Drosophila melanogaster: one gene and its partners. The protein of the gene in region 3 interacts with the protein of the main gene of each other region in a pairwise test. Each region holds a gene or a part of one and is shown on either strand. Other genes may lie near its edges.

Region 1 (3,990 bases), on a different chromosome or scaffold from region 3:
GGAGAATAAATAATACAAATATAAAAACTAACTAAAATATAACAAATCATGTATTTAGTTCATTTTTTAATGCAATCAAGTGAAGTGACTGGCTAATAAAATGTTAAATATAAGTAAACACTCCTATTTCGTTTTCAAAGAACATTTTCCATATACCGACTTTATTAATTAAGTTCTTTACTACTGAATTGCATATGCATGATAAAATTAAAAACACTCTTCGCAAGAGTAATTCAGAAGCAAACGAGGCGGAGGCTGAGGTCCGTAGTTAGGCTTCTGCCGCTTCTGTGAATCAACTTATGAATATTCAATTTTACATAAAAGATTTTTTGTTGTTGCTGTCGTAGCTGTTGTTATTTTGAGTTTTTGTTGTGCCACTGTGCTGGTGCTGTTCTTTCGCAGCCGTTCCTGGTTGCAGACCTTTTTTCAGATAACTCGCCGCTCTTCATGGCTGCAAAAACTCTTCATGCATGCCATGAAATGTGAAAAATATAGGTCGGGCTGACAGTTTGGGGTGTTGGTAACTGGGCAGGATGAGCCAAAGTGAGGTATAAAGAGCGTAGTCTCGTAAAATAGAACTAGCCGGAAGATAATGGCGAAGCACTGAGAAAAAATGAGCTTGGCTGTGCAATGGAATTTGTTATTGAACATACCAATTCGCTGAGAGAGACCAGCGGTAAGTGAAAGTGGGAGGAAGACAAGGACACTTTTTTAAAGGAGGCTTGATGCTTTAGAGTTTAAAATATTAATTAATATAAAATTTGGCTTATACAAAGAAATCTTCCAAATAAGACAAGAGAAAACTGCAAAATTGATGAAGCACATAACGAAGCTTTTATTGCCGATTTTATGCTCATCAATACCCAAAACGGCACCCTCAGTCCAACTCCAGATCCTTTTCGAGAAAAGTGCCCTGCGCCTGATGTTTCGACGCCTTCATGACGGACAGCGACTTGAGAAGGTCTTCCATTTGAATTTCCAAGTGCTCCCACTCCTGCAAGGCCTGATCCTTTACCTCGAAGTCCCATTCAATCTTGTCTTTTCCAATTTCCTCGCCGGTGTTCAGCTTTTCGCGCATAAACTGGCGCATACGGTACATGGATGCGTGGCGACACAATTCCCGCAAATCGGATCCTGAAAATCCAATCGTCAGTCGGGCCAGCTCCTTCAGATTAACCGAAGGACTCAGTTGCTCTGTCTGGAGGATCAACTGAAGGATTTCGCGTCGCTGGCAGTCTCGCGGCACTCCAATGTGAAATTGTGCGGGCATACGGCGCAGGATGGCTTTATCGAGGTCTTGCGGCCGGTTTGTGGCCCCCAAAACGAGGACACAAATGTTGGTATTGCTCATTAACCCATCCCACTGCAACATAAACTGAGTCTTAATCATGGCGGTTGCCTCGTGATCATTGCTACCGCGCATCCTGAGAAAAGATTCAATTTCGTCTATGAAGATGATGCAGGGCTGAAGTTTTTTGGCCAGCGTGAAAACGGCTGTGGCCAGCTTCTGGCTTTCGCCGTACCACTTGTCCGTTAGCACACCCACGTCCAGATTGATGAATCGCATCCCAGCATCCTTGGCAATGGCCTTGGCGATCAGGGTCTTGCCACAACCAGGCGGTCCATGCAGCAGGACTCCCTTGGGCGCTCGCCACAGTTTCGATCGGCTAAAGAGCTTACGATGACGCACTGGGAGAACCACCGTCTCCCTAAGCTCCTGAATAGTCCCATCCAGTCCGGCAATATCCGACCAACTGATATCAATGTCCTCAGGCGTCACCAGATGCGAAGCAATCATCATCTCGTGCTCATTAAAGTCACGGGCTCGAAACTTCTTTGCCGCGCCAATCGCCGAGGAGTTCAGCTTGCGCAGCTGCTCTTCCGCAACATATTTCGCCTTACCCCGGATCTTATTATTGGGATCCAGCGCATTGATCATCCATTTGGCAGTGTAGTACGTTAACGCGCTAAACACACACACCCGAATGACGATGGCCAGGATCTGGCACTGAGTACCCTCCTGCGAGTCCATTTTTCACACACCAATTTGTATCGACAATCTAGTATCGAATAATAAATAAATGTCACTTAAAAATTACACATCGGTATATTACTAACTGCCTACTGCTATGCGATGCACAACACTGATTTACTAGAAATATAATATAGGATTGTCAAGTGTTGTAGAAAAATATTCTTAAAAAAGTTTTCTTAGTTCCCAGAGACAAAAAAAAAATAAAAACAAAAGTTGCTTTTTAAAGATTTGTTAAGATTAACGTGGAAATATGAATAGTAGTTCTGCTAAATTACATTAAACCAAAGTTACTTACTGCATACAATAAGGAGTAATAAGCCATTTTTACCCACTGTGCATTGTCCAGATTCGTTTTAATTTCTGTTTAAGTTTTCCGGGCTCTGTTCTGGCCTCTGTTCCTCCTGCAGGATTTTGACGCTAACCTGCAAGAAATGCCGGCAAATAAAACTGAAAAAGCCTGAATGGAAGGCGGAGGAGAATGTTTTCTAGTTTAGTATCTCTCAACAAAGTATTTGTCTCAGTAACAAAAGATAAACTTGTCGAGCCAGCTGCTGTTCCTTGTTCCTTGTATCTAGCTGCGAGAATCCATCGCTGTTCGGTATCCTGCTGAATTGGAAGCAGCAGCCAAGGACGAAAGGCCAGGCCATAAGACGGTCAGAAGTATTAACTAAACACTGCAGCAATTTATCTGCGAACCCCTTTACCACCCAATTTTCCCAGCCCACCGAACGCAGGTCAGTTCTGTGCTTTGTCTTGAAGTTATTTCCGCTGCCCTTTCCCTCTTCACGGAAATCGCTGTGCACTGTGTTGTTTTGGGCTTCCTTCCGCATTACAAAAGAATTACTCAACACAATGTCTGGACGAAGTTTCCACTACTACGAACAGAGCCCTATTATCCACCGTTTTTGCCCAATAGTTTTCATATTCCTGGCTCAGGTGTCTCTGTCTGCCATCCAAAAATTGGTATTTCGCAAAAGTCTTGTTAGCATTTTAATCCAACATTTTCACGTCTGTTTGTACCGATCAAAAATTAAATCCAATCTAAGCCAGAAAATGTTGTAAGTTAACGGAAACCAAAGAGGATCCCACGAGCGCTTACTCCATGTAAAACTTAACCTTTCCATAATCCATTTGACTTTAGTTAGATTGATAAATAAAATGAATTGAATTGAATGAATTAAGGCACGTTTAAAAATTTCTCTAAACAAATCCAATTAAATTACTATTTGAAAGAGTACCTTACGGAGTAAGATCTATCTTAAATAGAAAATTGGCTTATTTGTGTGGAGCCCTAACTGAACTGATCTGCTCTTGACCTTTGCCCACTTAACAGAGTTTTCCAGACTTGGGCGCAGCTTTCGATGAAAATCGCCTTTATCCCGAAATGGAAAATGGCGAAGGGAGCCCTTACTGAGCATTATATCATACCGCCTCCGTTGGGCGCCATTATGGATGCAATTTCAGTGCGCACTTTGTGCAACATCTTTAAGCTCGTTAGCGTGCCGGGAACCTTTATGTTGAACAAACAGCCCAAGTTCTTCCACTGTCTATTCGCCTTTCACTGAGCTACTTTTGAAGAGTTCATAAAAATCACTTCAGCTATGCAATATTTCATGATTTCACCAACTCCTGCTCGCTCACTACCTTTCGCTGGATACCACCCACTATATTCGTAGTCCTTTCCCCTTATTTTGTCCTCTTTGTCAGATTCCAAGTCCGCTCGTTCGTTCTGCTGAGCACACGAAAAATTTAATTATATATTTTGTTGTTATTACTGTGCCTATATTGTTGCAAAAGCTGGAGCTTTCACTTGGAAAGTTGTGGAGCATTCGTCAAAATGTGACAAGACGACATAAAAAAACATCCTTTAAGTTAGATGTTTTTAATGCAAGCTTAAAGTAGCTGGCAGTATCCAACGGAAAATATATTTATAAAATTAGACTTTCAGGTTGGGC
Region 2 (4,107 bases), on a different chromosome or scaffold from region 3:
TTTCTTCTTCTTATTGTGTTTCCGTTTCACTTGCTCGCCAACGTTATACATACATACATACACGTTATACATACATACATACATACATGTATCTAAAAAAAAAAACATGAATAATTACGACTCTCCTAGATCCGACTCCGCGATTCTGAATCTTCCTAGAGTATTTTTCGCACACTTTTTTTGGGCGGCGAAGATATATACCAAGGTTGTTGGAACGAGACGGGGAGACTGGGAACGTGGAATGGAGCACAGGCGCGTAAAAAATACCCAAGCCGCAGACAGTGCAATAACAACAAGCGGGAGAACGCAGTAGGGTTGGAGAATTGGGTGGGGGGGGGGGGGGGGGGCGAAGAGACATGAACAGAAGACCCAAGGCAGAGGTCCAAAAAACAGAAACAGAACCAGATGGAAAATGGAATGGAATCGAAGCACAGTTAAAGGAATTTTGCTGTATACGTTAATGTGTGCTTGTTTTTGTGTCTGGGCACACACTCATAAACAATGATGAACGGGGTGAATGGACGCAAGGTGACGTCGCAACGCGGTCGAAGCCGCTGCTTCTGCACATTGGGTTGGCGAATTTGGCGCCGACAACATTCCCCTTCTAAAATCGCGCTTTTGAATTTTCCACCTTAGGGTTAAACCATAAATTTCTAAGTTGCAAGTCCACATAAATTATCTTTTAATCGAAATAATTTACATTTCACTTTTCTCCAAATCTTTCTAAATGTAAATAAAATTTAAACAGTGACCAGTTGTGTAGAAAACGTCAAACTATCTCGTTTTTGCGAAGTGTTCCCCATCAAGCGCCACAATGGGCGTGGCACTTGGCGGAGAGTGAGAATTGAGGCATAATAAAAGAAGGAGGAGGGAACGAAGAAATCATCGAGAGAAGTTTTGGTTCAATTCAGTTCGTTTCGATTCATTCTCGTCTACTGGCGTCTTTCTGTGCCTCTTCGGTTATTTGTTTATGGCTGTTTTGCTTTGATCCCCTTATTCTGTCTGGGGGCACAATCGTCTTGTTTTTGCGCTTATTGCTATTGCTCTACACTTTCCCGCTATTTGGCTACTCCACGTCTGGACTCTTGACTATTAAACCCAGCTAAAAGAAGTGCTAGGCAGATATTTTAGAAATCGAGGGATTAAATTAAATTTTGCATTTACTTGCATTTTATTGAAATTTTCTTGCATTTTTTATTCACATTCCCTCCATCCTTTCCCATTTTATTGAGTGCAGTGTCGTTGATATGTGTAGATATGTATATATGTAAAATATGAAGATATTCCACAATTATTCAAGTATTTTCATAACTTTTCCCCGTCAATTTTCGGAAACTCCGCTAGGAAACTAGGTACAACATAGTCCATTATCCGATTCAGAATCCGACTCATATTCGTCAGCCGAATCCGTGGGACAAAAGCCTGATAAGGTCGATTGTAGTTCAGTATAAAAGTAGCTCTTCTCGTCCTCTGTGACTTCCATTTCTATATCTCTGTAGCGCCTAGGTGAACCGAAGTTTTGGAGGTGCATGGCTCTATTCACGAGAACCTTTAAATGGATCTCCTCATGCTCCTGACAGACCCTAAGTTGTTTGTATTCCTGCTTGTCTCTATAAGTCTTGCACTTCTTGAACATCAGTCGATTGGACTTTGCCTTGAGCTCTTTTATAATCCTGTTCTGCGCATCAATAGCGTTGACCACCTCCTGATACTCCTTGTACATTGCCTGTTGCTCTTCATCGTCTTCATCGCTCTCATTGAGGAGCTCAAAGGGATCCTTCTCCTCCACCTCGAACTTATCTTCCTCTTCAACGTCCTGTTCGTCTCCTTCGCCCTCTCCCTCAAAATCTTCAGCAGCTTCTTGTCCTTCATTTTGCTCATTATCAACGTCTCCAGAGGCTTCTTGCTCCACATCAGACATTGCTTCGGATGTTAGGGATAAATTGTATTAAGCGATGCAGGGGTATTAGTTTACATAATTATGAAATACTTTAATAAACCAAATTTTGATATATAAATCAAATACAAATTGTTGTAGTAGATTTATCATGTGATCGACAAACGTAAACATAAAACTCCACACCTTAGAGCCAGTAAAATCTCAGTTTACTGCACACAACAACTACTTTTATTATTTCAGTTCGCCATTTTTTTTAGCACTTCAATAACTTCCGTTTCCGTTTCCCTCGTTATTAGATCTTTTCATATACGATTTATTGTTCTTCTGCCATCATGATAGCTGTTGCGCCGTTAACTTCATTCCTTCTACAATCTCATCTCTCTTATTTCACGCTTTTATTGACTCAGTGATTTCTTGTGGCTGGATCCGGTGGATTACGTTTCAAAGCGCACCACTCGACGGCATGCGTTCGCATTAATTATAGAAACTACAGAATGCATTTTAATTTGGCATAATGTTTATCTCGCAGCAGGGTCGTTTCATCGTACTACCGGTAGTTAAGACGTGAATTCTAACAGATTACAACCTGTAAGCCAGGAAAGAAAGGGTATGTATTTGATAACTGGCCCAGCGACACAAGTTGCTGTTTTAATATCAAACTGGTGCATTGAATGGCATAATAGGAATGCACAATATGTACGCAAAATGTACCTGCAAAGTTGTGTGCAATGAAAGACAAAAATGTAGAGAACAATGTTTAGCAAAGAAATTGAATATGTCGATATAGGGATATACAAATTTAAATTTATTTATTTATTTAATTTAATTTATTTGAATTTACTTAATTAAATAATAAGCACCTTGTTTGGTCCAAGCTTAAGCTTTTATCCTTGATGTTTTCTTGATTACGTCCCTGTTTAATTTTTGGCGTAATTACCAATTGCTTGCGAGTCCCTGAAAGCGACAGTTGCATTAGAAGCGAACACCCATAGCCAGAGCCTATGGGTTTTATCGTCCGTATCAAGGTGGCTTTTCGATTAGCTCCCCATTCAGATTACGCATACGTCACTTAAGCTCAAAAAGACTGCGCCGCCCATTTTAAATCAAATAACGGGCAATTTAATTTACAAAGTTGAAAGCAAGCATAGGCCACCCCCTTTAAGTCTCATACATATTTTGATTTTTATTGGGACATTTTATTCTTTTTTTTTTTTTTTTTTTTTTGATTCCTTTCAGACCATGCAAGTTGCATCAAGTTTTTCTTCCGCTCAGACTTTTGTTTTCCTTTGTCTTGCATCTTTTTTGTGCTATTGTTACAACGGAATGGGGACTGTTTTTTTGTTTATGCCTCTACTGAATAAAATGGTTTCATTAAAAAAGTTTTAAACTTTTTCATTTAATTTAACTGCAGCAAACAACAAGCATCCTTCATCATGAAGCCTTTCTCCTTCTGCGCTTTTCTTTGCCCACTCTCTTGCCATTTTTCACTGCAACTATTTTGTAGAGAGCATCTGTTTCAGATATAGAGATCCTTAGCATGCTTTGATTGTTTTTTTTTTTTTTTTGAATGAGTTTCAATTAAACTTTTCTATTTCCATTTATTGTGCATTTTCCTTCCGCAGCGTATGCTGTCGCAGTTTGTTTCAGTGAGTTGCCACCCCGATTATCACCTGAGTGAGAGGTATCTTGTAGTCGAGGCACTCTACTCTCTCTGTCCTGGTAAACTTTTATTTTAAAATGGCCTCTTAAACGTATTGTCAACTCAGTATATTATTTCGTCGCTTGATTTCCTTTTTTGTTATTATTTTAATCATTCCCATTCACAGAGCATAATTTAAAAGGGGACGTAATAAAAAAGTCGTGTGATGGTGTGAGAATAGGGTTTGTTGAGACCGCCCTTTCTAGTAAGCCGGTCTTCATGTGGCATGACAACATGTCGTATTTGTAATATTTAAACACAACCGCTCAGCGAAGGTTGACAATCTTTGACATTAGACGGGCGTAATGATGAACTCTGACACGCTCAAGGGATGGCAGCGAAGGGAGGAGGTGGAAATGTGAGCGGGGCAGACCCAGAAGAAAAATCAATTTTTGCACAAAAAAAGGGCAAACAAAAAAACAAACACATTGCAATACCAATATTAACAACAATAATAAGTGATGTAAACAAAGTAAATAAATGCGTTGTAATTCCACATGATGAACTG
Region 3 (6,218 bases):
CTACTCAGAACAATGTTAAAAATAAGAATAAATAGCTTCGACAGTCCTAACAGTCTTGAACAGTTGTATGTGAAATATTCGTGGATCAACATGTTGTTCGGACTTATAGGATCATTTTTGCTTATGCTGCAAATAATTCTTGTGCCTTATTCAAATGGTGCAGGTAACTTTCAGCATGCATAAACTTTGTACGCAATTTAAAATCTATCCTTCCTTCAGGGTGTCAATTTGATACGGAATGCGTGAATCTGGATAAGTGTCCCAGGACCAGAGCAGTTATGAACTCATCCAGGAAAAATATAATAGGTCTTAGAAGATGCGGCACTAATAAAGTGTGCTGCCCCAAGTGGGAAACGTATCTGCCACACGATACTTGTGGACAATCAAGAAGAAAACCTACGAAGGGCAAAATACCGGCGCTGAATGAGTTTCCCTGGATGGCCATGCTGTTATATGGAAATAAAAACAATTTGTCCCAGAAGCTGGTACCAAAATGTGGTGGATCCCTAATAAACAACTGGTACGTCCTGACCGCAGCGCACTGCGTGGAGTATCCATTTATGGACTATCCGTATGCCCTCAAAACAGTGAGACTGGGCGAACATAACACGTCCACAAATCCCGATCGGGCTATTGTGAATGGAAGAAGACAGTACGCTCCTCTTTATATGGAAATTGAAGTGGACCAAATTATTACGCATGAACAATTCAACCGGGGAAGGCGGCTGATAAACGACATAGCACTCGTGCGTCTTAAGTTTCCTGTGCGGTGAGTAATGATTCTCCTCTGGTCGAAATAGAAGTAGGATATGAATTGAAATAATATATCTTTATATCTTCCTATAGCTATACGAGAGCCATCCAACCTATTTGCCTTCCAAGAGCCCAAAAATTGGCCGCGCATAAGCGAAAGTTTCAAGCATCCGGCTGGCCAGACATGGGACAAGGAATTGCAAGTGAGGTACTCTTGCGCAGCTTCATCGCGGAACGGCATCCAGATGTGTGCAAATCAAATTATGACTTTAATTTGGGCAGTCAGATATGTGCTGGTGGTCTGGATGGGAATGACACCAGTCCCGGCGATTCCGGGGGACCCTTAATGGAGACCGTGATACGTGGAAAGGTCACACTCACTTATGCAGCCGGCATAATCTCCTACGGACAGAAGCCCTGCGTACTTAAAACTTGCAAGCCAGCATTTTACACAAAAACTTCATACTTTTTTGAATGGATAAAATCGAAATTGCAAAGTCCATTTATCGACAGCGACAGCAAATCTCGTACTAGAAAATAAGCAATTTATTTAATTCCTACATTTTATTGCCTCAAAAACTAGTTTAACTGCATCCAGGAAAAGGTTCGGCGCGATTTTTGCGCAGTACGAACTGAATTTTTCGGTTCATGTCCTCGTTGTAAATGGCCTTGCATTTCTCGAAGTTGATGCGACGACGAACCTATACAATAGTTTAATACAGTAAATAATAATAAATAGTTAAGTTATTTAAAGTCGAACCTGATACGGCTTTTCGTAGAATCGCGTGCGGCGAAATTGGTCGAGCAGTTCTTCTTTTCCCAAGACGCGATTTAACAGACGACACGCCTCCTCCACATTATTGTTTTGCACCAGAACGGTGCGGGCCAGAAACTGCACGTGTCTCATTTCGGATAAGTAGTTTTATTTTATAAAGTTTTCCAAATGTTTATTAAATAATCGGCTTTCAAAACAGTGTGACCATTTACTGTACTGCTAAACAGCTGATGAATATCACTAACCAGGGCTAACGATTGCTAATAAGAATCGTGGACTCAGAAGGAGTACTTTGAGAACCACTCAACTTAATAAATAAGAAAAATATTTATTCAACACAGTATTTATTAATGCATTGCCAAAATTATTTCTGTAATGCCCATCACACTTAAGAAATACATATTATATCCCATCAAATTATCAAAAATTGCTAATCACCTGAAAATGACTAAAATACCAGTTTTCGGACCTTTGCGGTGCGAGGCAACCCTGATGTTGTGGTTTTTCTTGCCGTTTGCCGCTCTGGTCACACTGGTTTCCAGTTTTCTTCCTAGCGTGGCGGCCATAGTAAGCTGTTGAAAAGTATTCGACGTAAATTAAATTTGTTGTAAAAGTGAAACTTCCAGGAATCGGGCTGCGAAAGTTACTATTTGCTTTAGGCACGACACGACACGAAAAAAGGTGAGCTGGGGCGGCTCTGGGCTAATTAAGATTACCACCTGATTTTGCACATTTCGTCTCGCATTGTGCGGTTTGCCAATGTGTGTGTCTACTTGGTAGACACTTCCTTTGCGCTTGGTTTTCTCATCTCTGTCGTTAAGTAATCATCGATAATTGTTTTTTGTCAGAGAATTTGCCTTCGATTTTTGGCATTAGATTTGCAAAATCGATGGCCATCTAGCTTTTTTTCTCTTCTTTGTTCAATCGAATTCTTCTGACGCAGCGTCTTGCGCGGCACATGTTGGTACGCATACAAGCGCAAAGTCTGGTGCATGTGTGTGCTAGGCACTGGTGAAAATATAATAATTGTATCTATTGATTTGCCTGCTAAATCGAAGGCTGCTTCTAGAATTCATTTCCATTCTTATTTTCGACTCTGCCCTTTCTCCTTTCATTTGTTCCCCTTTTCGTTCTTTTACGGTTTTTTCATTATTACCCTCTCCGCTTTGCAGTCGCCGTTCGCAAAACCAGGGCTGCAATGCGCTGACGAAAACTTCTAGAAACTGTGTGTATGTGTGCGTGCGAAAGAGAAGCGGTTGTTGTCGAAAGGGGGAAAGAGAGCGTCAGCTGCTCGCCGTATTGAAATACGACAATTGTTCTAGAAAATCGACTAGAAAACGTCGCAGTTATTTTCGCGAACACATGGCGGCGTAACGACCTTGAATCCCGGGCTCTAGCTTCCGGCAATGCCTACTATTTTCCGTTGCCCCCCAAATTACACGGAAAAAAATGGGTGATGGCATCAAGTCACAGCTGTAGAAATCAATAAACAAGAAAGGGTCATATGATCGAGTGGTTTCTGGATTTTGAAAAATGTATTTCTACAAAAAAAAATGGGTAACAAAATATAGGTTACTGATTTTTGTTTACAATACTAGTTAGAGAGGAATCAGCCCTTTGAACTATGAAATGTCATTAGATATAAAACTGACAATAACTTCCATCGGGAACCTAGCTGCCATAGAAACAGCACCACAAAATAAATTTTTTTTTTTCATTTTTTATAAGAACTGGCATCCAAATCGGTTGAAACTTCAAAAATTTTCGGTATTACACAACTTCATAATTTCTACCTATATATGCCTGGAGCATACACAAATCTGTTCCCCAATCTGTTATTTACAAGCTCCCAGATAGTAATTACGCACTACTTCGTCTGTTCACAGTAAACAGCAAACAAAATGGTTAAGGAGACTGGATATTATGATATACTTGGCGTGAAGCCTAATGCCACGCCCGACGAGCTGAAGAAGGCTTACCGCAAGCTGGCCCTCAAGTACCATCCGGACAAGAACCCCAACGAGGGCGAGAAATTCAAGGCCATTTCGCAGGCTTACGAAGTGCTGTCCGATGCGGACAAGCGACAGGTGTACGACGAAGGCGGCGAGGCGGCCATCAAGAAGGGCGGCGCAGATTCCGGTGACTTCCGCAATCCTATGGACTTCTTTGAGAAGTTCTTTGGCGCTGGATTCGGAGGTAGTGGCGGTGGACGCAGGCGCGAGAGGCGTGGCAAGGACGTGGTGCACCAGATGTCCGTACAGCTGGAGGAGCTGTACAATGGAGCGACCCGCAAGCTGCAGCTCCAGAAGAATGTGATCTGCGACAAGTGCGAGGGTCGCGGCGGCAAGAAGGGCAGCATTGAGAAGTGCTTGCAGTGCCGTGGTAACGGTGTGGAGACACGGGTTCAGCAGATCGCCCCCGGCATCATGCAGCACATCGAGCAGGTGTGCCGCAAGTGTTCGGGAACTGGCGAGACCATTCAGGAGAAGGACCGCTGCAAGAACTGCAGTGGCCGCAAAACGGTGCGGGAACGCAAGGTATTGGAAGTGCACATTGAGAAGGGAATGCGGGATGGCCAGAAGATCGTGTTCACGGGAGAGGGCGATCATGAGCCGGAATCTCAGCCGGGCGATATTATTATTCTTTTGGACGAGAAGGAGCACTCCACATTCGCGCACGCCGGACAGGATTTAATGATGAAGATGCCGTTGCAACTTGTCGAAGCGCTCTGCGGATTCCAGCGAATCGTTAAAACGCTCGATGATCGCGATCTGATTGTGTCCACACAGCCCGGCGAGGTTATCAGGCATGAGATGACCAAGTGTATTGCCGAGGAGGGTATGCCCATTTTCAAGAACCCCATGGAGAAGGGCACGTTGATCATCCAGTTCGAGGTGATCTTCCCGGAGGTGATCAATCCGTCGGTGGTGCCCACGCTTAAACAGTGCCTACCCCCGGCGCCGGAGGTTGACATTCCAATCGATGCAGAGCAGACGGTTTTGGTGAGTATTTCAGTAGTAGTTTATATCACGATATATAAATAATATATTATTTATAATTAATTTATTTATCGATTTGCTTATCTTTCGCAGGAGGACTTTGATCCCAAGCAACGTCGCCAGCAACACCAGCGCATGGCCTACGATGAGGACGATGGCGGCTATCAGGATGGCCCACGCGTCCAGCAGTGCACATCGAGTTAAGCGCCCCCGCTGCGTGTTGCATCCCCGGACACACAGCCCTAATAATACCCCAACCAACAAGCCGTAATAATATGTAAACCAGCTCCCGGAACACTGTAATTGCGCTTGCAAGTGCCGAAGAACTCCCAAAAGCACCTTAAAACACCATCCAATTCACACTAGGAGGCCCAACCAATCGAGAGATCTAAAGTTATTTCATGCAAGCTACGATATTTAGGTATAAATCAAAGAAACTTATCAGATATATGCACTATGTCTATAACGCGTGGTTGTTTGTAAACCAACATTTTTCTTTATGTTTATGTTGCGTTGGATTGTCAAAGAATCGAAAACGGAAACTGAAACTAAACTAAACTGAAATTGAAATTAGCCGCCACTAGAACCGTATCTAAAGTCCGCGCCAGCGAACACGTCTAGGAACAAGTTTAAGTTATTTAATTCCAGCATAAATAAAAGCGTTAGTTTAAACGGATATAACAAATAAATAATTAATACACAATTTCAACCCAAATGCTGTATATTCTTCTTCCCATAGTTCCAGTATCACTTGCCTTCCTCCGGCTATCTATTGATTCCATAATCGCTGCATAGTCACCCGCAGGTGTGAATCATTCGAATAATGCCAATTGGAGATATCAGGCATATGGCAGTAGTTTCGTCTTGAGTACATTATTTAAAATGCTATCTGGGATAAGTAAAAGATAAAAAGAAAGATAAGGATAGTTTGGGATATATATGGTAATGCCATTAAATCGTTAAGGATATAATGAGGGATTTTGTAGTTGTTGAGGATTATAAAGCATCCTATAAATGAATCTGCGGACCTGCCTGTCGCAAGGAATAACATCAAAAGCAAATTCAAAATGTAAAATGTTTTGTAAATTTATTTACAAAATTTCAAAATGAACTACAACATAATCTGGTGGAAACTAGTGCGCAAAGTTTCGGAGAGCGGCCACAACTCCAGTTCCATAGATGAGCTTCTCCTCCACACGCTGCCAAGCCTCCTGCTGCACCTGGGACACAGTGCGCAGCTCCTTTACCAAATCCGGGAACTCCGTCAACCCGAGACCGTGGGATCGCAAGAAGACGCTTAGATACGATTGAGCCAGCTCAAAGTTCAGATTGGTTCCAAACATGAACTTAACGAGTTTGAGGAACTGCAGCATGGCAAGGAGTGTTCCTCCAGCCTCCGGGTGCAGAGATTTGATCTCAAAGTCAACCATCGATGGTCCTAGTTGGGTCAAGTGCGCCACAGCCGATGCGAAGTCCAGGGAGTCAGCAGTTTCCTCCAGCAGCTGGCCAAAGGCAGTAAGATTGTTGAGAGTAGAAGCCTTCCGAATCCGGGATTCATCCTCCTCCTTCTGACCGTTCTCCACATCGAAGCGCAGTTCCAGTCCCGAAACCGTGGGCAGGAAGAATGGGGCCTGTTTGGGAGCTTTTGGTGGTGCCTTGGGCTTGTTACGTTGCTTGATTAGCTCCAAATC
Region 4 (6,367 bases), on a different chromosome or scaffold from region 3:
AGCGACGAGTACGCTCGCTGAAAAACTGCGCAGCTCTAGCACTCGCCACCCACACTCAGGCGTTTTGTTTTGTTTTTCCCATTCACATGCATGTGCGCAGCGGAGAGGGTACGATGGGCGTATTAGACCCAGCGAGTGTGTGTATTCGTAGTCAAGTCACACAGTCGAGTGAGACTGCCGGACAGCTACGAGCACAATACTAGCACTAGATCAATACAATACAAAGAGTCTGAGAATTTAAAATAAAAAATACATATGTCTTAGTTTAAATATTAAATACATTTTTAAACAAATATAAATTTTTTAAGGATTTTCAAAATACCTTAAATCGTTGGTATGTCTATAAATATGGTTGTATCAATTGTTTCTATAGCAGCTTTATTATTATTTGTCATGCTGAGTAAGAGTATACAAAAAAAAATGGAGCAACAACCAGACAAGGATTCCGTAAAAGCTCTCGAAGCTGAAGTTAAGGTATTGGACACTGAACTGGCACTGCAACATGCCGGGAATAGAAGAAATAGGCTTAAACTGGAGATCGCAGAGTTGGAGGAGGTCCTGGAGAAGCAGAGTATAGCATTGAAGAAGGCCAACAAAAACAGGAAGGCAGCTAAGATAATTATCTCAAGTTTGATGGATTTGAATCAGACGGATGGTAATAACTGGACAGTTAAGTCATCAACTAAGTTTTAAAGATGTATTACATAAGATTAACCAATTTGTTTTAGGAGTCAAATAATCCTTCAGACAATGAAGGGTCATCCGAAGATTTCGACGTGGATGCAGAATAGAAACTTTTCCAGTAAAATCCCCCTTTCACATCATTTCGTTCAGCAAAATGTTTCTTAATATTCGATTAAAAATCAATTATCATCTTTATTTGTCTAAATTTAAAGAACGGAATATATGAAATAAAATTCAGCATAACCATCCAGATGGATTTCAGCTAAAAATGACTTATTTTAATTAAATTAAGGTTTGATTAATGTTCTTGCGGGCTAAAAAATTTGTTTTTTGTTATTAAAATATATTTGTAAAAATCACTGGTATTGCAAAGTGGTCTCTTAGTCCCGCCCACCAGATGGAAACTCCAATGGCGTTATGAATATTACTTTTAATCCATTACTCTAAGTAAGCACGGGAGATATTACACGGAAAACAAAATAATACATATATTGCATGTATGTATAAACGTAGTACGTAAAAAGTATGAAGTGTTCATATTGTAATATGCACTCGAATAATCTGGAGTGCCTATAAACCTACAATCTGATCCAGCTAGAGAGCAATTCGAGGCATGCCTACAACTTTTCCGGACAGTGTCAGCTGCATTGGAAGTGGATACATATGGATGTGGCTAGGTTATGATGCATATATGCTAGTAAAGTAAAGCCAATCCTGCTGCCTAGACGTGGTCGATCTTCAGGGCATCCAGGCTGGTGCCCTCGGATTGCGCTTTCTGCGCATAGTAGCCATCGTACGAGGTGGTCGCCTTGATGATCTCCTGCTGCTGCTGCAGCTTCGTCAGCTGCTCGCAGGCCGCCGCCGCGATCTTCTGCCGCTCAATTTCCGCCTTCCGCTTGGCCTCGTTCTCCTCCAGCTGGTGCGCCAGCAGCTCAGCGGTGGCCGCTGCCCGCTCCACCGCCGGATCCTGATACTGGTCAAAGTTACGCGGCTCGGCGTCTGGCTCCAGCTTGCGGAACGTGATCTGAGTGGGCGCACTGCGCTCGGGCACGTGTCTCCGGTTCGGCTTCTCGTGCGTCTTGATGTGTTTCTTGAGTGCCGTCTCCTGGCGGAAGTGTTTGCCACAAATCTTGCACTCGAAGGGCTTCTCGCCCGTGTGGATCCATTCGTGATGCCGCAGAATCTGTGCCTTGGAGAATCTCTTCGGGCAGAAGCGACAGGCAAAGTCCTTGACCTTCTCGTGGATGATTTTGTAGTGAAGTTTCATGTTTCCAATATTATTGAAGCCACGCCCACAGCCTGGACAGATGTGCTGGCCTTCCTTCTTGGTGAAGTTCACTTGCGGCGACCACGAGGGCACGGATACGGATGGTATTGGATTTACCGCAGTACCCGCCAGCTGAGAAATGTCCACCCGCTGGACGCGTCGCGAGTTCTTCGGTTTGGGAGGCACTGCAGCGGTCCCGCCGCCGCATGCCTTCAGCATGTCCTCACTAGGCATCTGGTTGGGGTCCATTGGCACCAAACCATCCGTCTGCATCTGCATCGGCATCTGGCCCGGCATCGGTACGGACATTTGGCCGGGCATGGGAATGTTAAGCTGCTGGCGAAGGGGCTCCGCCGGCGGCAGATCCCTTTTCTCGTGCGTCTTCAAATGCTTGGTGAGGCTCTTCTCGCAGAGGAATATCTTGCCGCAGATCTTGCACTCGCAGCACTTCTCCCCCGTGTGACTCCTCTCGTGCACCTTGCAGGCGTGCGACTTGCCGAAGGTCTTTCCGCAGTACTGGCAGGCAAAGTCCTTGCGCTTTTCGTGCACCACCTTTACATGATTGGACAACGCCTGTTTGTTGTGCGAGGCATGGTCGCACTGTCGGCACTTGAACTTTTTCTCCTTGGTGTGCGTGAGGATGTGGGCGTTCCATTCCTGGCGCGTCGTCTTGCCCACCCCGCAGTACGGACACACATGGTTCTTGATGCCTGCGTGACGCATAAGGTGATCCCTTAAAGCACTATTGATTACAAAACGCTTGCCGCAGATATTGCAAGGATACGGAAGCTCCTCGCCCGTGTGCTTATACATGTGCTTCTTGAGTGCTGTGGGGCAGCGGAATACGGTGTCGCATTCTGTGCAGGGGAAATCTCGAAGCGGGGCAGCCGCCTTGGTGATACCGTGCACCTTCTTCATGTGGAAGGTGAGCAGACGGACGCGCGGGAAGGTCTTGCCGCAGCCCTCGGCGATGCAGGCGTGAACCTCGGACAGCTCTGTGTGGGCGTGGTCGATGTGAATGCGCAGCCCATTGGCGGTAGTGAAACCTGTAAGGTGGGATTTCATAGAGATCGGATACTTATATTTATACTTAAGCCAGCGTTATACCTTTCTTGCAGGTCTCCACCTTGCATTGGAAGGGCAGCAGGTCGTTGTGGTACTTCATGTGCTCCTCGTAGCGGATGGCCTTCTTGAACTTCTGGTGGCAAATGTGGCAGTCGATGATGCGGTGCAGGTGGCGTTCCTCGATGGGAATGCGCTTCCTCTTCGGCTTGTCGCCCCGCGATGTGCCGTCTTCGGAGTCATCTGATTCGGAGGATGAGTCGCTCAACTCCTCCTCCTCTGGCGGAGGCGGTTTTATCTTTTTGGGCCGTCCCCGGGGCCTCGGCTTGGGTTTGTCTAGGTTGCTAAAACGGTCCTGCTGGGGTCCTGATCCGGTAGCTGGTCCCCTCATGCGCTGGGCCAGCGGAATGTCATCATCGCTGCTATTTGGCTCGAAGTCCAGATCGTGGTCGTTGTCATTGCCGCTCTCGATGGACGAATCGTCGTCGAACATCTTGACGGAAACGTTGCCCCCGTCATCCTCCTCCACCTTGGCCTCCTTCTCCACCTCCTCGGCCTCCTTGTCGACGTGCTCCAGCATCTTGAAGACATCCTCCTCGTTCTCGATTAGCTCCATCTTGTGGTTCAGCAGCGGGTCATAGTTGACGTGGTCCTCTTCCTCGGCCGGGTAGTCCTGCACGGCAACGTTGGGATCGAAGACGTCGAAGCTGCTCTGGCAGGCAAAGACATTGCTGGCCACCAGATCCTGGAACTTTTGCACGGAATCGACGCACTGTTTCTGAAAGTCGTGCAGCTCGTTCAGCTTGGTGTAGCACAGGGTGCACAGGTTCTTCGGGAATCCGTCGTTTTGCTCCACGGACAGGGATGTGCAGAAGCATAGCTTCTTCGAAAGTCCTGGAACCAGATACAAATCGTAGGCGGCGTCGTTCTGCAGGTGGTTCAGACAGATCCTGCACAGGCTGTGGATCGAGTACTGCCTGCCCTCGTTCATCTTGCTTTCAATCGCAATCGGCACTGCGGATCGGGGCGGTTTTCTATAGCTTTTTGCGTCTCTCTCCGGTCAGTAAGCAATAAAATAATATTGACACAGAAAAAATTGTATACTCGTCGACTGGCAATCGGGCGAGTGGGCAATAAGCAAGTACTTCTGCCAGCGAGTTACTCGTCCGAGTGCGTAGTTGTTTTGCGTTTCAGGGCTGGACAATCAATGTTTTTTCTTACCTTCTTATTTGCAATTCTAATTAGGTTGCAATATACAAAAAAAAAAAATATATATATATACAACTAATTTAATTAAATAGATATTGCTTGTATACTTCAAATAGTATTTCAGGGTTTTTTAAAAATATTTTGCAAACTGAGCACCATAGTAACAAAAACGAAACTGAACTTACAATATATAGATAATGGTATGTATATATAGAAAAAATATAAAACAAATTTTTTTGTATTAGTATGTATATATAAACATGTAAAACAAATTGCTTTTAATAATAAGCAACGACATTTGAAAATATACAAACTGGGCATCAAGAAAATTTGATACGAAAATGAACGTACAAGATTTCTGTATCGAAATAAAGTCAAAAATAAATAATAAATAAATGTATTTTAACTAGACGCATGCATGGTCTTGCTAAAAAGCACTTACATTAAAACAAGTTAATATAAAAATAAGAATCCAAGTATGCTGTTTACTTGCCACCCCACTACACCGTAATGGGTTAATGGCATAGCGAAACGGTCAGACTGCCTGTCACACTGGAACAAATTTGTTTAGAAGCTTCGATTGTTATCTGCCCGAGAATTGAGGGAAATGGGCACTATGGAGCTCAAGTACTCCGTCCAATCGCTTTGTCTCACCTGCCTTGTCCACCTGAAGCATGGTGCTGGACACGATCTCTTCGTGGTTCCAGATCTGTTCCAGAAGCTCAGGGCGTGCACTTCGTTTGATGCGGATCAAAACGACGGTTTCCCGAGAAACCTGTGCACCCAATGTTTCACCAAGCTGAACGACCTGCATGACTTCCGCGAACTGTGCGCAGAATCTATTAAACGTCTAAAGGAAATGATGACCAGCCAGAGGAATATGCCCATGGGTGTATTCGAATCTATAGCTGATGATTCTGAGGCACCTGAAAGGCCAGAGGAGCCGGCCAGTTTCGATCCGCTGCTGAATAACAAACTAGAGATGATTGACAACGAGGAGGATGTGTTCAAGTTGCTGGAAAAAGTTGACAAGGAACTAGAGGAGCATTCAAGGGACCAAAGCGAGGAGCACTTCTCCAGTGCAGAGCACAACGGACTGGAGGAGGAGAAAAAGGAGTCGGAAGGGTTCAACAGCGACGATGAGCAGGCCATGGGGCAGCGACGGATTGCGAACGACAAGCGTAAACTGTTTCGCCTTATGAGCTGTTCCATCTGCCAGCAAAAGTTCAAAAAGCAATCAAAGTTCGAGGAGCACATGAAGCACCACAATGACCTGTTGCCGTTTCAGTGTCAGGAGGAAAGCTGCCGAAAGGGCTTCACCACAGCCGGTGCACTGCGTTTGCACGTGGACTATGCGCACTCCAAGAAGGAGGATACGGTTCCCTGCACCGTGGAGGGCTGTCAATTGGTTTTTTCCCGTCTCCGGCTGCTGACCATTCACTTGAAAAAGGTTCACAACCAGGCGAGGGTTATTGCTCCGCGGGGTGAACAGTCTTGCAAGGAATGCGGCGTGGTGTTTCGTTGCCCGGTGGCTATGAAGAAGCACATGTACACGCACACGGGCGAAGAGCTTCCCTATCCGTGTACCATTTGCGGCAAGGGCTTTTACATCAATAGTGCCCTAAAGAATCATCTTCTCCGGCATGCTGGCATCAAGAACTACGTGTGTCAGTACTGCGGAGTGCGAAAGACCACCCGCCAGGAATGGAGTAAGCACATTCTGATCCACACCCAACGGAACCAGTTTAAGTGCCGCATCTGCGACTATGCCACCCACACGAAGCGGGTGCTAGAGAGCCATGTTAAGATCGTACATGAGAAAATCCGGAATTTTGCTTGCCAGTACTGTGGAAAGACGTTCGGGAAAGCATACGCCTGCAAAATACACGAGATGGCGCACACTGGTGAGAAGCGCTGCGAATGCAAGGTAAGGGAATTACCATTATACCCTTGTTACCAAAGTCTGATATATTTTCGCCTTGCAGGTTTGTGACAAAAAGTTCCTGCATTCGGAGAGTCTCAACAATCATCTGAAGATTCATGAGAAGAGCGTGGAAAGGGCTCTGGAAACTTATAAACAGGTGCAAGTAAATGGCGATGCCAGTGACACTCAAGTGGACTCACATCAGCTGCTGAAGGTTTACG

Evidence for each region.
Region 1: the proteins of Droj2 (region 3) and CG4701 interact in a two-hybrid assay, tested with the Drosophila melanogaster proteins (one large-scale study listed by BioGRID).
Region 2: the proteins of Droj2 (region 3) and CG13405 interact in a two-hybrid assay, tested with the Drosophila melanogaster proteins (one large-scale study listed by BioGRID).
Region 4: the proteins of Droj2 (region 3) and D19A interact in a two-hybrid assay, tested with the Drosophila melanogaster proteins (one large-scale study listed by BioGRID).

Annotation. Positions count from the first base shown.
Region 1 is NT_033779.5:14,764,049-14,768,038, reverse strand, and holds CG4701 (uncharacterized protein), read right to left. Parts: upstream 2,132-3,990; 5' UTR 2,033-2,131; coding exon 878-2,032; 3' UTR 814-877; downstream 1-813.
Region 2 is NT_037436.4:73,290-77,396, forward strand, and holds CG13405 (uncharacterized protein), read right to left. Parts: upstream 2,044-4,107; 5' UTR 1,922-2,043; coding exon 1,349-1,921; 3' UTR 1,165-1,348; intron 1,103-1,164; 3' UTR 656-1,102; downstream 1-655.
Region 3 is NT_033777.3:13,380,050-13,386,267, forward strand, and holds Droj2 (DnaJ-like-2), read left to right. Parts: upstream 1-2,056; 5' UTR 2,057-2,095; exon of another isoform or gene 2,096-2,154; 5' UTR 2,155-2,209; intron 2,210-2,772; exon of another isoform or gene 2,773-3,063; intron 3,064-3,215; exon of another isoform or gene 3,216-3,414; 5' UTR 3,415-3,429; coding exon 3,430-4,530; intron 4,531-4,620; coding exon 4,621-4,731; 3' UTR 4,732-5,234; downstream 5,235-6,218. Other genes in the region: CG8870 (uncharacterized protein), read left to right, coding at 91-163, 220-769, 847-1,294; mRpS21 (mitochondrial ribosomal protein S21), read right to left, coding at 1,338-1,454, 1,514-1,660; CG9799 (uncharacterized protein), read right to left, coding at 5,661-6,218.
Region 4 is NT_037436.4:6,184,976-6,191,342, forward strand, and holds D19A (D19A), read right to left. Parts: upstream 4,149-6,367; 5' UTR 4,005-4,148; coding exon 3,059-4,004; intron 2,998-3,058; coding exon 1,406-2,997; 3' UTR 855-1,405; downstream 1-854. Other genes in the region: CG43293 (uncharacterized protein), read left to right, coding at 421-669, 729-791; CG7386 (uncharacterized protein), read left to right, coding at 4,839-6,149, 6,208-6,367.